2 linked regions of the Notamacropus eugenii genome follow. The protein of the gene in region 1 binds, or shares a complex with, the protein of each later gene. Links are inferred from orthologs where the notes say so. Each region holds a gene or a part of one and is shown in the gene's direction. Other genes may lie near its edges. The genes, in order: IL22RA2 and IL22.

Region 1 (8,124 bases):
ACCTAGTCCCACCTTCTGTCATTCGGTGGTTTCTGCCCATTACGGCTTAGAAGCTGCTGTTGGGAGCCAGGCTGGGCTGATTGAGCTCTGCCTTCTGTGACAAGAAGTTTAGAAAGTGAGAAGAGTCAATGGATGAGGGGATGGGCCTAGACAAATGAGAATATGTATCAGCAGGGGTTGGGTTCAATTGCTAGGAAGAGTTCTTAGGCCATATTCTGCAGTACACAGTTGTATTGTGCAGCAACCTTATTTGCTGCAGCTTAATTTAGTTACAGTTTGGTTTAGAAATGACACAGAATCTCAAGTTTATATATATATATATATATATATATATATATATATATATATATATATATATATATATATACACACACACATACATACATGTGTGTATGTGTATGTATATATGTATGTATATGTGTGATATACATACATTTATATTATGTATATATGTATGTATATGTGTGATATACATACATTTATACATACATATAGTACTAGTATTTATTAATAATAATAATAAAGGTCTCAATCAGTAAGTCCCAATACTTATGTCTCAATCAGTAAATCTCAAGTTATGCCACAATCAGTAAGTCTCAGTAGGTGTGTCACAACCTTATCACAATCGATAAGCACTGATGGGGCAATTACCTACAAATGGATCACATATATGTGGCTGGGGAGTCCCAGGTCAGCCTCCAGAGTCTCGATGGGATAATCCTAAACTATGCATCAGTACCAAGGGGGGAAAGCGGGGAGGGGCTACTCACCCTTAGTAGTTCTTTCTAATCAAGAAAGGCATTTTGCCAATTATATGTGTGACTGGTGGGAAAGGAGCTGTTCTCAAAACATCCTTGAGAGCATTTCTGTTTAGGAATGTCTCATTCTGGGAGGCATGGCCAATCCTCTCTGGTAGCAAACATCACAAACCAACTTTTGGCTAGGAATAAGATTAGAGCCAGATTGCACAAGATCAGAATATCCTAATGAATTTATGCATCACAACAGTATACACAGTAAGATCCTGAAGTCCCATTAGATAGTATTGAAATGACATCTAAATGTCTGTGAGGGTCAGTTAATTACTTTTATTAGCAATCTGTGTTTATTCAATTCAATCAATTCTATTAAGAACCCAATATTAAAATTATCTTTCCTTCCCTACTCAATAAACCCCAGTATCTCCCTTTTGCTTTTGGGATCCAATATAAACTCTTATATTTTGCTTTTAAAACCCTTCAAAATCCAACTTGCTTTGTTCAGCATTCCTGAAGTCCAACCATTCTGAAGTCTACTATCTGTCCACCCAACCTCCCAGTATAGATGATGTTGGTATACCTAGATTCAGAAGAAAGCCACATCCTGGAAGGTATTCCTTAAAGAGGAAAAACGCCCCAAGCCTATACTCATTGGCTTGGCCCTTTCCTGCCAAAAGACCTTCCAAAATAATGAATAGTAAGTAAATCTATTTATCCTAGTATATAGAAAACAGAAATCAGATTATAATATACCAGAAAATACAGAGTAAAGGAGTTCTTTAGATTAGAGCAAGATAGGATCGCAGCTCAACCAAGAGAGAAGCCTGTATCTTGTCCAACAAGAAATTCCCTAAAGTTTCTAGGGAGACAAATTGGAAATCAGGGACATGTTGAGGATCTGGCTTTGCTTACACATTCACAGATTCTAAAGTCTCATAGTAGCAAGCACCCTAGCAACCCAGAATGACCTACTAGCACAGGTTCTTTGATCTGCTTTTAAAAGAAAGTGCTCAAAAAGAGGTTAACAATTCTGTTTTTAAATACATTCACTAGTTCAGGGGAAAGGTCAGCACACTGAACTTGATGAAAATACAAACAGAAAATATAAGCCGAGAAATTAGCATGAAGACCAACAAACAGGGCTCCAATTATCAGAGTAAAGCAATATTGCTATGCACTTTACATACATCACTATCAAGGGAGCACAAACTTCCGGTGGTTAGGGGGTTCTGAACCTACACTCAGAGTCTCAATCAGAAAACCAAAAGATCCTTCTCCTAAGTGAACCCCCAAAGTAAAATAGCAACTCAGAGTATATATACCAAAAGGCATCACAACCCTCGTGACTCAGTGCCTAATCAACTTAGTACCAAAAGGTGTGGAAACCTTATCACAAGCAAGTTCCTCCTGAGACAAGTCGCTCCCACAATGGGCTCCACATGAAGCGAGGGGAAGATCTTAATATCCCTTTAACATTACAAGTCTTTCTTTCCACATGTCTGGAGTAGTTTTTAAATGTTTGGCACAACATGTCCTCTCTCAAAGAAGGAACGTCTCTCCTCTCCAAAGCTCTTATATCAACTCTACTTCTCATGTAAGCTTATAACATTCAGAATTCTTTCCACCAAATGGAGGTTTCCTTCTGCATATGCAAATTTCCCCAGGATTACCTGGGAACCTGGACTAATAGATATTTCGTATATACTTGTACACATAAATTTGCTCTATTCCCACCCCAAATAAAGTAAGCTCCTTAAGGTCAGGTACTTTCATTTTTGTCTAAGTAGCTCCAATACCTATTGATTAATTCTATTTGTATCCACATTCATTGTTGACAAAAAGAAAAAGAAGGGTAGTTTTTTAAATGTCTTCTCATCCTCCAATCTGAGGTAGTTCAATAAAAAAAAAAGTGGCAATCTGCCTATAAATTCAGTTCCCATCATCATAACCTTTTTTCTGTGAATACTAATATTGATAAAAAAAAAAAGTTTCACAACTCTTAGATTAACCACATGAAGGTTTTTTTTTAACTCTAATTTAACTTTTTTTTTTGGTCACTGTTTTTCCCAATGGTTATAGTCTGCTGTATGCCGTCTACAATCATGAGATTGTATGACTTAGGAAGGGGAATTTTCCACCATTGAAACAGGGATTTTCCTTTTTTTTTTTTTTTTTTTTGTCAATTATCCTCTCAGACACTCAATCATTTTTTGGTCTCCTAAACTTTAAGTCTGAGAAGGAACATGGAATAGTGGATAGAGAGCCCTCCTCACTTGCTTTCAATTTCTGTGTCTGATACATATTGATTGGGTGATGTGGGCAAATGACTTAATTTTTCTGAATCCTAGGCAAATCTCTAAGATTATAAATCACAGATGCAGATCTTCATTGGTAGGAGTTTCCTCACTAGAAGTTTCCTTCACCAATGAAATCACAAGTCTAAACAAAAAGTCAATAAATCTTTAAGACTACATACACATCCCTATAGTTCTTCCTTCATAATGTCTTATGTTGTCTGGCTACCTAGAGTTTCATTTATCCTCCACATTACAGCCAAATTTACTGTTCTGCAACATTCCCCTGCTCAGAAACTATCCTGTGCTCTAGGGGCCAAATGGGATGGCCTTTTGGACTAAAATCTGGCCAGCCTTTTTGGTGGTGGTTTGGGGCAGGGGTGGGGGGTGAGGTGGGGTGTCTATGTAGATGGGTGGGACAGCTAGCTACAGTGAATAGAGAGTCATCCCTGACGTCATGAAAACTCATCTTCCTGAATTCAAATTTGGCCTCAGACACTTACTTAGGTAGCTGTGGGCAGTTCACTTAACTCTGTTTGTTTGCCTCAGTTCCTCATCTGTATAATAAGAAGGAGAAGGAAATGGCAAACTACTTCAGTATTTTTGCCACGAATATTCCAAATGGGGTCATGAAGAGTCAAACCTAACTAAACACACACACGCACATGCACACACACACACACGCACACAACATACACACAGATAGTTATGGTAAGGATGACGAGTGGGAGTTTGTTTATAGTATGGATAAGATGAAGACGTAAAATTAGTGAATATAGAGTCTTTGATCAAAGCCACCAGAGATCAATAAGTGAGCAAAAGAGTCACATCCATTTGCTTGAAGTCCATTAGTAAAATAGCGATTACTTTCTAGAAAAGTTTAGGCTAAATTCAAGTGTCGGTCCCGGTGGGTAGACTCAGGTCAACAAGTAGGGTTCTATTTCCAGTTCTTTTCATAAATCGTTAGATTTCAACCTGAAAGGAACTTTAGTGATCATCTAAAATTGTAAGATAAAGTCCTGGAAAGAATCTTAATAAACATCTAGCCTTTCTGCTTCATTTTATAGACCAGGCAAATGGAACCCTGGGAGGATAGATGACTATCTTAAGAAAAAAAAAACAGTTATGGTTTGGGTATAGATCTTCTGACTCCAAAGGGCAGATGGGTGACAGTAGATAGAGCCCTGGGCTTAGAGTCAGCATCTTTAGCATAACAGCATAGCCTAACCCTCCAGCCTTTTTCAGTGACTTAAATCAGAATCACCTGGAATCACTCAGTATTACCTTTCACTTAGGATGTAACAATTCACCAAATTTCCCCTATGAAAACAACAATATTTATTTCAATCTCCTTAATTTCCAGTTATATGATTTTTACAAAACTTTTGTTTGACCCTCTTACAATCTTCTAATGGTTACACAGAAATGAGCTTGAGACCATAATACCCTTAAACTCTATTAATCATTTCTCAAAATGATCCTATACAACATTCTTTGTCTTTGAAAACTGTATTTCTTCATACATACATTTCATCAGTTTTTAATTAATAAGAGTTCTGTGTCCCTTTAAGCCATCAGATATTCACATACAAATGAAGCATCACCTTTGTCTTTTACAAGGTGATAGAGTTCTATTCTTAACTTCTCAAATTCAATCTGAAAGCTATTTTTCTTTACACATATATTTTAGTCATTTTTATTAAATGATGATTTTTTTTCCTGTTCCTTTTAGCCTTCAAACTATTTATTTATAAAAACAGTAATACCCTATATCCTTTACCAGTTCATTTAACTTTTTTCTTCACACAAAAGTATCTTTTTCTGCCCCGTGCGGTAGTACTTTGTGGCAGTAATTTCAAAGGGACAGTACTTTAATGAAGCAGTTTTTAAAGACACTGTCACTTTAAAAAGGGACAGTACTTTAAAATACCTTGCAAAGGAAAATCTAAAAACATAGTTTTCACTTCCTTTTTTTCAACCTATTTATAGATATAAGGAACAGGGTAGATTGGAGGTGTCTTTTTATGCAGCAGAATATTTGTTTCTCATAGTCATAGTCTAACCATGATGCTTAAACACTGCTTTATAAGCTTCCTTATTGAATTCCTCTGGATTCATGGAGGAGGTAAGTGTTCCAATTTTTTTTTTTAATTTGTTATTAGGAGTCTTTTTCTTTTCATAAACTGAACAACCAAGACACTCTGGAAACCCCACTGGCTCTTTTCTTTGTCTCTATAGGATCTATTCCTTATCTTAATGTGTTTCGGGGTAGACAGCAAATTGAGGGGCATCAAAATAGTAAATTACATCTAGATGTTTATTATATAAATTAATAGTAAATTACATCTAGATGTCATGTAATTTTGTATTTTTGAAATTAATTTTTTCTTCTCTCAAAGCATTGTCACTTATTACCTCAGTATCTCTGTAAGTTTAGTGTAGCCCTTTAATGGTAGTAACCCCATTTTACATATAGGGAAGCTGAAGTTGAGTCTTTGCTGGAGCTCTAGATCTATGGAGTGTCTTATTTCTGTGTGCACGTATGTGTGTAGTGAGAAGAGGATTAAGTCACGAAAGAAGTGGCACTTTTTACCTCTAGGTGACCCAGTTTGCCATGGGTCCATGGTAAATGACTTCTGTTATTTCCTGAGAATCTTTTGACTTATTACCTGTTATAAATAGCTCTCATCCTTTGTTGAAACAAGGTGAGAAATAATCCTTGTTTTTGGTCACAGATTTTTTCCCAAGGGTTGGATTATCTTTGAGTAGAAAGGAAGAAGCAATAAAAAATTTAAAAAAATCATTTTTATCAGACACCAGGGTCATGAAGAGTCAGACGACTGAAATGAATGAACAATAACAACGTTAGGCATTGTGGAAAAATGAAGGACAAAGGATAAAGTTGCCTAAAAACTTGTAATCCTCAAGGGTTTGCCTTCAACATTTATTCCATCTGATCCATGAAGAGTTAAAACTATGTATACATTTTGTTGACAGATATCAGGATTTAATTACTTTTTTTTAAATGCATTTATTAAGCACCTGTTATGTGCAAGGGACCATATTAAGTACTGAATATTCAGAGATAAATCATGACAGTCCTTTACTCCAAGAAGTTGACATTCTAATGGAGGAAGGAGAGAGGTAAGTGGAAGCACAGGAGAGTGGGATACTAAATATTCTTTTTTTGATTGGGGATATCATCAACTCAAGTTTCCAACATGAAAGACACTGCTTTGAAAGGATTTAGTGGAAAAACCAAGGGAAGTGAGCAAGTGTGGGGCTACTTTCTGCTTCTTGTCAATTACATTCATTCACCTTTAGAAACAGCTTGTTATATTTTCCCACCCTCCAACTCTCCCTGTTTCTTCACCTCCCTATTAACTATCTAGGTCACCACACTATTGTCCCAGTCACTCCGGTTCATAACCTAGGTGTCATCTTGGACTCCTCAATCCCCACTTTGCTGGGAATAGGAAAAGGAATTGGGCTTAGAATGGTAAGTGATTTGCAAAAGCTAGGAAGGATTTGAACAGTATTTGAACTCTTTTCTTTCCAATGCTACATCTAGCATCCTATCTAGTATGTCTTCAAGCCTGTTACAGCATGTGCTGCTTATATTGTAGCTTTCCATTTGCCAGAGCTAACTTGTAAGCAGGCACACTGATGCTGGGGGAGACGATGATGCTAGCATTTCTGTGTGTGTGTGTTTATATATGTACAGACACATATATATACATACATACATACATATATCTTTAAGGATTGCAAAATGCTTTACCTGTGTTAATTCGTTTGAGCATTGCAATCTTCCTCTGAGGTGGGGTTCTGTTGTTATCCCTGGATTACAGATGAGAAAACTGAAGCACAGAGAAGTTAAATGTCTAGTTAGGGTCACACATCTACAAAGTGTCTGGCACAGAATTTGAATTAAAGTCTTCTTGACTTCAAGTCCTATGCCCCCTAGATGCCAAACTTGGACAGAGGGAACTGACCAGGTCCCTATCAAGAAGCATTGCTAGGAAGATGGAAGAAGGGGGGTTGATAGAAGGGAGGACAGACTGGAAGAAGGGGTGGATGGGGTGCATACTGTCCTGGGGTGGGGGTGGGAGGGATGGGGAGAAAATTTGGAATTCAAATTCTTATGGAAGGGAATGTTGAAAACTGAAAAAAAAAGTTATATATTCAAAAAAAAGCAGGGTTAGTCCACAAGCTTCATTCCATCCTATCAATCCAAGAGTTATGACCAAAATAACAGATTGGTATTAACCTATTTAGTACTACTTAATGCTAGTCATTTCCCTATATTTATTATCTCACATATAAGGATGGTACGACAACCAATAGAGTGACAGGCCTAGAGTCAGGAAGATCTGAGTTCAAATGTGAACTCAGACACTCACTAGCTGTGTGACCCTGGACAAATCACTTAATCCAGTATGCCTCATTTTCCTCATCTGTCAAATGAGCTGGAGAAGGAAATGGCAAACCACTCCAGTATCCTTGCCAAAAAAACCCGAAATTGGGTCATAAAGAGTCAGACATGACTAGAAAATGACTGAACAACAACAATGTAGATCTTGTTTGTGCATGGTTGTTTGCAAGTTGTCTCCTCCATTAGACTGTGAACTCCTCAAGAGCTGGGACTGTCTTTTGCCTTCCTATGTGTCCTCAACACTTAGCACAGTTGTCCTGACCTATATCTGGCCACTGGACCCAGATGGCTCTGGAGGAGAAAGTGAGGCTGGTGACTTTGCACAGCCCTGCCCCACTTAAATCCAATTGTCATGCAAGTCATGGCATCACCTCCCTGATATTTGAGAAGGAAGGAAAGCAAGAACAAAAACGTAGCACAGTGCCTGGTACATAATAGATCCTTATAATAAAAGCTTGTTCATATAGCTAATCTGATTCTGCTAATCTTGCAGAAAATGTCAGAAACACTTGTGTGGCTAGAAGTTACCACAACCCACTCAGTTACCTCGGGCTTTGATGATCAGCTACAACGATAATTCTGATGAATTTTTATCACCACACCTCTCATTCTACCCCTGCTTCCTGCTAGGAAATGC
Region 2 (7,768 bases), on another chromosome or scaffold:
CTAATTAAATTGTTTATAAAGATGTTGTCAACAGCATTGGACGTGTCTCACAACTGAAGTAATGAGATTGATAACTGGTAGTAACGCGTAGGACAAACCTCTTACTTCATAGCCACACACATATTGTGAAAATGATGTGATTCAGCAGTATTTCATATGCTGTTAGTTTCTACATCCAACAAGTGACATTTAAAGTACAGTAGAGACAGTTCAGATTGCTAAAAGCAGCCCCTGAAGGACCCTTCCCCTCACCACAATCCCCTAAAAATCAAATGAATAATGGGCATTGTCTAACTGCGTGCATGTCCAGCTTAGCAATTATCATCTTAGTTAGCACTGTAAGTCTGACAGCCTGTCCACGTGTTAGTGGACACCTTTACTAGACAGCTGTATCAGGCTTTTATATTTATAAAAATGATAAAATTGATATTTTGTAGTTTGCCTTCTATAAGTGGTTTTGTATAAAGGAATCAGCTGTTTAGAGCCAGAACAAAATCTGTTTTGCTTTTTTCCCCCCATAGGAAACCTTGTGAGCCCAAGAACAGGCCTTTACCATTTACCTCACCAAGAAGTCATTAATGATGAAGGTAATTTACTAAAAACTGAGTAAGATTTGATAATATGTAAGGTTTCTAAAAGTAACCATTTCATGGATCCAGCCCACAGATTAGGATTTGGGTCTAGAGTAATATTTTATATATTTTAATTGCCTGTGTTTACTTGTATATTTTTTCCTCAGAAACCCTTTTCTGTCTAATTGAAGAGCAAATACATTTTTTTCAGTGCATAATTTTCACCCTCACTGATTGTTATTAGTCTCAGTAGGAAGAGCTCTGAAAGCTTGATGAGAATGTTTGTAGAAAGTATAAGTGATTATTAACAAAATATGCTTGAATTTCTCAATTATTAATTTAATTACTAAAATACATGTATTTATATTCCCATATTTCAGGGTTTGATATTTTCCCCCTGCATTAGTAGCCCTCTGAGGTGTCTTTTTTGAAGATTTAGCAAATAGTTATTAAATCATTATACACTTAAAAATGATAATACTTGAGAGATTTCTTAATGCACATTTTTTTAAAGATAGACTTTTTTTTTTTCCCCATTAAGCTTTCAGCCAAATTTTCCTGAACAGAAAACTGAGGAAGAAAATTGAGTACTTAATTGAATTTATTTTTCATTTGTGTCCAACTCTTTGAGACTCTATTTGGGATTTTCTTAGGAAAGATATTGGAGTGGTTTGCCATTTCCTTCTCCAGCTCACTTTACAGATGAGAAAACTGTGGCAAACAGGGTTGAGTGATTTGCCGAGGGTCACACACCTAATAAGTGTCTGAGACCAAACTTGAACTCCTGAAGATGAGTCTTCCTGACCCCAGGCACAGTAGTCTATACCTTGCCACCTAGCTGCCCTCCTTAATTGAATTACAAGCTCCTGAAATTAGAAGCAGTTTCTTTTTCTCTAAATTGTCTTAAAGTTTTAAAGATATGCCATAATACTCATAGTATGGAGCATATTCATCTATATTCTGCTTTTAAGAACAGAAACCCAGAATCATGAGTGGTGTTGATGGGTTATAAACAAGGAGGCTGGGATCTGGGCCCATTTTTCCTGTTTGTCAGTTTGGTGACTTTGTCCTGTGTCACTTCACATTTTTGGGATTCAGTTCTCTCATCTGTAAAATGAAGGGTTTGATCTATTAAGTCACCTTGGAGCTTCTGGCTTCTAGCTTTCCTGTTCTGATGCTGTTATGTTATAGGACTTTTTGGTATTTGTGGCTGAATTTTCTACTGAATTGTTATGAACACAACAAGGAATGATTGGTTTTGGTTACCCTGACTTGTAATTGTGGATTTTTCCATTGTAGATGATGACAGATTGTCCCAGATCTCTGCTCGGTCTGCAGCCTCTAGTCTGATGGCTTCTCAAACTTTGGCACGTGCTCAGAAAAGGAAAGAGAGTTTTTGGGGCAAAAAATAGTGCTCTTTATGGCTAGCTCTTTCCATTTTTGTTTACTATTTCTGTGATTATTTTTATTTTCATTCCATATGGAGTTGAGGTTTTTAAAGTATTTGGGATTCTTGTATTTTGGGGAGAAGGGAAGGTTGGTTTTGTCTAGGGATATGAATAATTGTATTCTAATAGCCATTTCAGTTCAGTCATTTAATTTGTTTTCTTTATGTAGACAAATTGAGTTTTAACTTTAAATTCATTGCCATTTTAGACTTATCTAAAAAGGCACTAATGGATTTACTCAGTCCTTCACAATTCTGAATTTAACTATTTCTTATCAAGCGTTGTTGGTAGGATTGAGAGTTACATCCATGTTACCAAGAGTATTCTGAAAAGTTAAACTGTAAAAATGAAGAACTAAGTTTGAAATGTGTGGTTTTGTAGGATCTGTTACCTATGTTTATAAATTAAAGATAGCATAAATTGAATGTGTACCCACAATGTTCACTTCTACTATTTTTTAATTTAAAAAATTTTTTTTTAGTATTTTTTAATTTTAAAAAAATTTCCTTCAGAAAGTTACTTTTAGTATGATTAAAATAATTGTATTTAGGTTGAAAATATTAACTGTATATATATTTTTTATCTTATACGAGAAAGTTTGCTTAAAAATAATGTATATTTTTGGTCTGTGTTTTTCATTTGTATAAGAACTTTGTCTTACATTTTAATGTTTGAAAGTGGAAAAGTTATTTGTATAATGAAGTGTTGAAACTTTTTAGACATTTTCAAATAAAAAAAAACATCAAGAGTGTTTGGTTTCTCCAGAAAGTTATTTCATGGAACTGTAGTAATCTTTTTACAAAGTTTTTCCTCCAAGAGCAAGGTGGCCAAAGTTTTCTGTACTTCCTTTAAAGCTTTTGTTGCAATACAATAGAAGATGAATCCAGATCTTTCACCTTTTTGTAGTGGGGGAGGATAAGAATGTTAAGGAAGACATTAGAGAATCAGTATCTTTAATCTCTTCTCTTTACTTATAGGGCACACATAAGTGAAAAAGCGTTTATTTAGCACTAAGTGTATGCTAGCTAGACACTCTACTAAGTATTGAAGATACAAAAAAAGTAAAAAAGAGTCTCTGCCCTCAGGAGTCACTGTATTCTAATGGGAGAGACCACATGAAAACAGTTAGGTGCAAACAAGATGAATACAGTCTAAGTGGAAAGTGATCTCTGAGCAAAGACACTAGCAGTGAGGGAGGACCAGGAAAAGCTTCTTCGAAAAGGGGTTTGAACTGAGTTGAAGGAAGCCAAGGAATCCATGAAATAGACTGTGGAGAAAGGGATGTGGGGGTTGGGCACCGTCCTTGGAAATGTTGGGGCTCAGTGGACGGTAGAGGAAGTGGAGAGGAATCAAGTGCACCAAGCCTGGAAAGGGAGGAAGGAGCCAGGCTGTGAAGGACTTTAAAAGCCAAGCAGAATTTTTTATTTGATTTCAGGGTGATAGGAAGCCATTGGAGTTTCCTGAAATGGAGTGATGGTAAGTGTTTTGGGAAGATCACTTTGGAAACTGAGTGGAGAAAAGACAGGATTTTGGATAGCTGAGACAGGGGAACCAACCAGCAGATTTTTGCAACAGTTCAGGCAATTCAGTTCAATAAATATTAATCAAACACCTATTACATGCCAGGCAGTTAGGTGGTACAGTGGATAGAGTGCAGGATCTGAAGTTAGGAAGACGTGGGTTCAAATTAAGCCACCGACGCTGTCTGTGTGTGATGCTAGACAAGTCACTTAACCCTGTTTGCCTCGATTTCCTCATCTGTAAAATTGATGGTGTGTGGGATGGCTCAGGTCCCTACATAAATCAGTTACTTAGAGGCCTCTCAAAGTGATGACAGAAAAGTGATTTATTCGATTCTCGAGAAGCGGGGCTCACCTGTAGGAGTAGGAAAGCCGAAGACAAAAATCAGGACAGTGATTTATAAACCCTAACGCAAGTCCCTCCTCCCCCCACTGACCATTATCCTCATTAGCTGAGGATATGGTCTTACATTCTAGACACGAAATCTAACCAATCCCTTTGAAATGAAGACACCGAGGAATTACGCAAGTTTTGTCCAATCATTGAGACCCCAGTACACCACACAGTTTTATACCTTATATGGAACTATTCTATTCCAAAAACACTGCAGCCCCGAGCCTCCCGGCCCCACCTCACCCTTGGGAGAAAACCACAATCTGAGGAGTCTTCACCAAGTCTATCCCACTCAATGGGGTACAAGTCCAAGTTGAGACCTTTTTCTCTTGGAACTGGAGGGCCTTTGTCCCATCTGTCTGAGGGGCCCTGGAAAGCTTGGCCTTTGGGGGTTCCTTGGATTCCCCTTACTAGATTCAGCATTCTTTTCATATTCCTACCTTGGATCCTATTAGCATTCTTTTCATATTCCCTATTGGCCATTACTTAGCATTCTTTTGAGGTCCCAGTCACCTAGCCAGGATTGTGGATTGTCTGGACTACCAACCACCCCCATCCTCCCTGGGTTTGATCTACATTGCAGGCTGACCTCCCTTATCAAGACCATCCCTGGGACCGAGACTGCTTGGCCACGCCTGGATTCTTCCCTCACTCTTTTCCTGTATTTAAGTTCCATCTCACCTCCATGAAGGCGCTCACATTCAATCCAGCTCAGACTCTATCTAGCTGAGATTCTGTTAATACAAGCATTACAAATGCTTAGGCTCCTTAAGAGTCAATTCAATGTGACGAATCTTTTATAAAGTTAGTTTTTGTTTGGCTTTAAGGAGATTTGTGTAGAATTCATTTGAGCAGAACCCAGCATGTCGGTATTTTGGGATCCCCAGGACCCCAAACCTCAACATTTTGGTTCCCTGATCAGGAAGAACTGCTAATTTCCAGTTCTTCTGCCAAGACTGGAAGGTATGTAAGCTTCCCCCTCTCCCTATCTCCTTCAGGCACCTTGGAAGGGGTTTTTGGACCTGACCCCTCAGGTCCCAGTAGATCAGGCAGATAAAAGGCTGTCTTGTACTCAACTTGATGCTCTCAGGTTGTCAGTCCAGTGGCTATGTTTGAGGTTGTGAATCTGGGCACACCCTCCAAAGCACAGACAAGGACAGACACCCTATTGGGAAGTGTATGCCCAACTCTCAATTCCCTCAGTGCTAGGGAATTAGGAAAATGTTACTTTTTCTTTCTTTTTTTTTCAAGGCTTACTCCCACATCCTTCTTTACAGAGGGAGGGACTACCAGCCTCACATCTGTAATGGATTAATCCTCTTCAAACCCTCAAAATTTGCCTTTGGGTTGTCTTTTACAAAATTGGGAAAAAATTAGCTTCCCTAAAGAACTTAAAAAGAAAAAGTTGGTGTTCGTTTGCAACACTGTTTGGCCTCAGTATCACCTGGAGAACCACGAAGTATGACCCATTTTTGTGACCTTACAATGTAGGAATGTAAACAGTTCAACTTTAGTAAATCCCTTATGAGTTCTCTTTCCTGTTTACCTTTTCATGCTTCTCTTGATTCTTGTGTTTGAAAGTCAAATTTTCTATTCAGCTCTGGTCTTTTCAACAAGAATGCTTGCAAGTCTTCTATTTCATTGAATGACCATTTTTTTTCCCTGAAGTATTATACTCAGTTTTGCTGGGTAGGTGATTCTTGGTTATAATCCTAGCTCCTTTGACCTCTGGAATATCATATTCTAAGCCCTTTGATCCCTTAATGTAGAAGCTGCTAGATCTTGTGTTATCCTGATTATATTTCCACAATACTTGAATTGTTTCTTTTTGACTGCTTGCAATATTTTCTCCTTGACCTGGGAATTCTGGAATTTGGCTAGAATATTCCTAGGAGTTTTTCTTTTGGGATTTCTTTCAGGAAGTGACCAGTGGAGTCTTTCAATATTTATTTTGCCCTCTAGTTCTAGAATCTCAGGGCAGTTTTCTTTGATAATTTCATGAAAGATGATGTCTAGGCTCTTTTTTTGATCATGACTTTCAGTGATCCCATAATTTTTAAATTGTCTCTTCTGGATCTATTTTCCAGGTCAGTTGTTTTTCCAGTGAGATAGTTCACATTGTCTTCTATTTTTTCATTCCTTTGTTTTACTTTATAATTTTTTGATTTTTCATAAAGTCATCTTTATGATGACTTTTCATAAAGTCATTAGCTTCCATCTGCTCCTTTCTATTCTTTAAGGAATTATTTTCTTCAGGGAGCTTTTGGATCTCCTTTTCCATGTGGCCATTTCTGCTTTTTAGGGCATTCTTCTCCTCATTGCCTTTTTGGATTTCTTTTGTCATTTGACTTAGTCTATTTTTAAAAGTGTTATTTTCTTCAGCATTTTTTTTGGGGTCTTCTTTAGCAAGCAATTGACTCATTTTTCATGATTTTCTTGTATCACTTTCATTTATCTTCCCAATTTTTGCTTTACTTCTCTTACTTCACTTTCTGAGCCCTTCCATGGTCTGAGATCAATTCATATTTTTCTTGGTGGTTTTGAATGGAGGAGCTTTGACTTTGTTTTCTTCTGTTGACATGCTTTGGTCCTCCTTGTCATTAAAGTAAAATTCTATAGTTTGATTCTTTTTCTGGTTTTTGCTCATTTCCCCAGCCATTTACTTGACTTTTGAGCTCTTTGTCAAGGTAGTTCTCCGCTTGTAGTGGGGGTGGAGGGAATAGTCAGCCTCCTGATCTCCTCCCTCCCTACCCCCCCAGTAAGTGGGCCTAGAGCTCCAGAAACAGTGGCTGCAGCTACCTCTGCTGCTGCTGTGTTCCCTCCCCCCCGCCGCCCTGGAACTGGGGCCAGACCACTCTACTCTTCTTCATTGGTCTCACAGGCTTTTTCCACTGACCTTCCAATTTATCCTCAGCATTTTGGGGTCATGGAGTCTGGAAATCACCACACGTATGAGAGATTTAGTCTCCCCAAGGCCTACTCAAGTCCCCTCTGTGCATACATGGCCCACATTGGACTGCGCTCTGCCTCCTGCGTGGTGTGATATACACTTCCCAGCAACCTTCCATGCTATCTTTGACTGGAGATTTGCTTCACTCTGACCTTCTGTGAGTTCTGCAGCTCCAGAATTTGTTTAGAGCTATTTTTTTTACAGATATTTGACTGGGCTTGGTGGGAATGCTCTAGAAAGTTCTCACTGTTATTTGGCCATCTTGGCTCTGCCCTCCAATCTGATACATTTTCAAAAGATTAAAGAAATTATTCAGAGAGAAAAGGAAAACCCTGCCCTTTTCCAAGACAGGTTGATAGAGAGGCTATTAACAAATATAACAAATTTAGGTCCTGACTCTATGGAAGGGGCAGCAATCCTTAGCATGTATTTCATTAATCAATCTGCCCCAGATATTAGGAGGAAACTGCAGAAATTGACAATGGTACCCTAAATACCTCAAGCCCAATTACTGGAGATAGCCTTTGGAGTCTTCAACAACAGAGACTTAGCCAAAGCGGAGGAAAAAGAGCACGAAGACAGAGCACATGCTCAGTTCTTGGCTGCTGCCATAGGCAGGAAAAGACCTGAAGGTATTCCTGGTAACTTGGGTAGTGGTGAGACCTGCTTTCAATGCCACAAGGAGGGCCACTGGTCCAAAGAATGCCCCTCTAAGGCACCCCTCCAGAGGAAGCTCCCAGGACCGACTCCTCTGGGACCATGCCCAGTATGCAACCAGGCGGGACACTGGAGGAAGGATTGTTCCTGAGGTTGGAAGAGTGGTGGAGCCACCAGCACTACCCTGTCCTCCAGTCTTCTCAAGATTTGTTATGATGGGAGAGCCA

The links.
Region 2: the proteins of IL22RA2 (region 1) and IL22 are in contact, whole or in part, in a crystal structure (PDB 3G9V), measured with the Homo sapiens proteins. The link is inferred for Notamacropus eugenii from reciprocal best matches to the Homo sapiens genes IL22RA2 and IL22. Residues at the interface, in NP_443194.1 of Homo sapiens: Lys65, Ile66, Tyr99, Gly100, Gln101, Arg102, Trp104, Gln128, Glu129, Pro130, Tyr132, Met148, Pro150, Arg151, Thr153, Trp155, Trp156, Glu157, Glu200, Pro246, Met247, Leu248, Asp249, Arg250; in NP_065386.1 of Homo sapiens: Phe47, Gln48, Pro50, Thr53, Asn54, Phe57, Met58, Lys61, Ser64, Leu65, Asp67, Asn69, Thr70, Asp71, Val72, Arg73, Leu74, Lys162, Gly165, Glu166, Asp168, Leu169, Met172, Arg175, Asn176.

What each region holds. Positions count from the first base shown.
Region 1 is NC_092873.1:223,568,050-223,576,173, reverse strand, and holds the start of IL22RA2 (interleukin-22 receptor subunit alpha-2), read left to right. Parts: upstream 1-5,035; 5' UTR 5,036-5,116; coding exon 5,117-5,177; intron 5,178-6,833; exon of another isoform or gene 6,834-6,912; intron 6,913-8,124. UniProt on the Homo sapiens protein: Isoform 2 is a receptor for IL22. Binds to IL22, prevents interaction with the functional IL-22R complex and blocks the activity of IL22 (in vitro). May play an important role as an IL22 antagonist in the regulation of inflammatory responses.
Region 2 is NC_092874.1:245,595,595-245,603,362, reverse strand, and holds the start of IL22 (interleukin-22), read left to right. Parts: upstream 1-4,627; 5' UTR 4,628-4,897; intron 4,898-7,768. Other genes in the region: nuclear protein MDM1, read left to right, coding at 522-587, 1,872-1,984. UniProt on the Homo sapiens protein: Cytokine that plays a critical role in modulating tissue responses during inflammation. Plays an essential role in the regeneration of epithelial cells to maintain barrier function after injury and for the prevention of further tissue damage.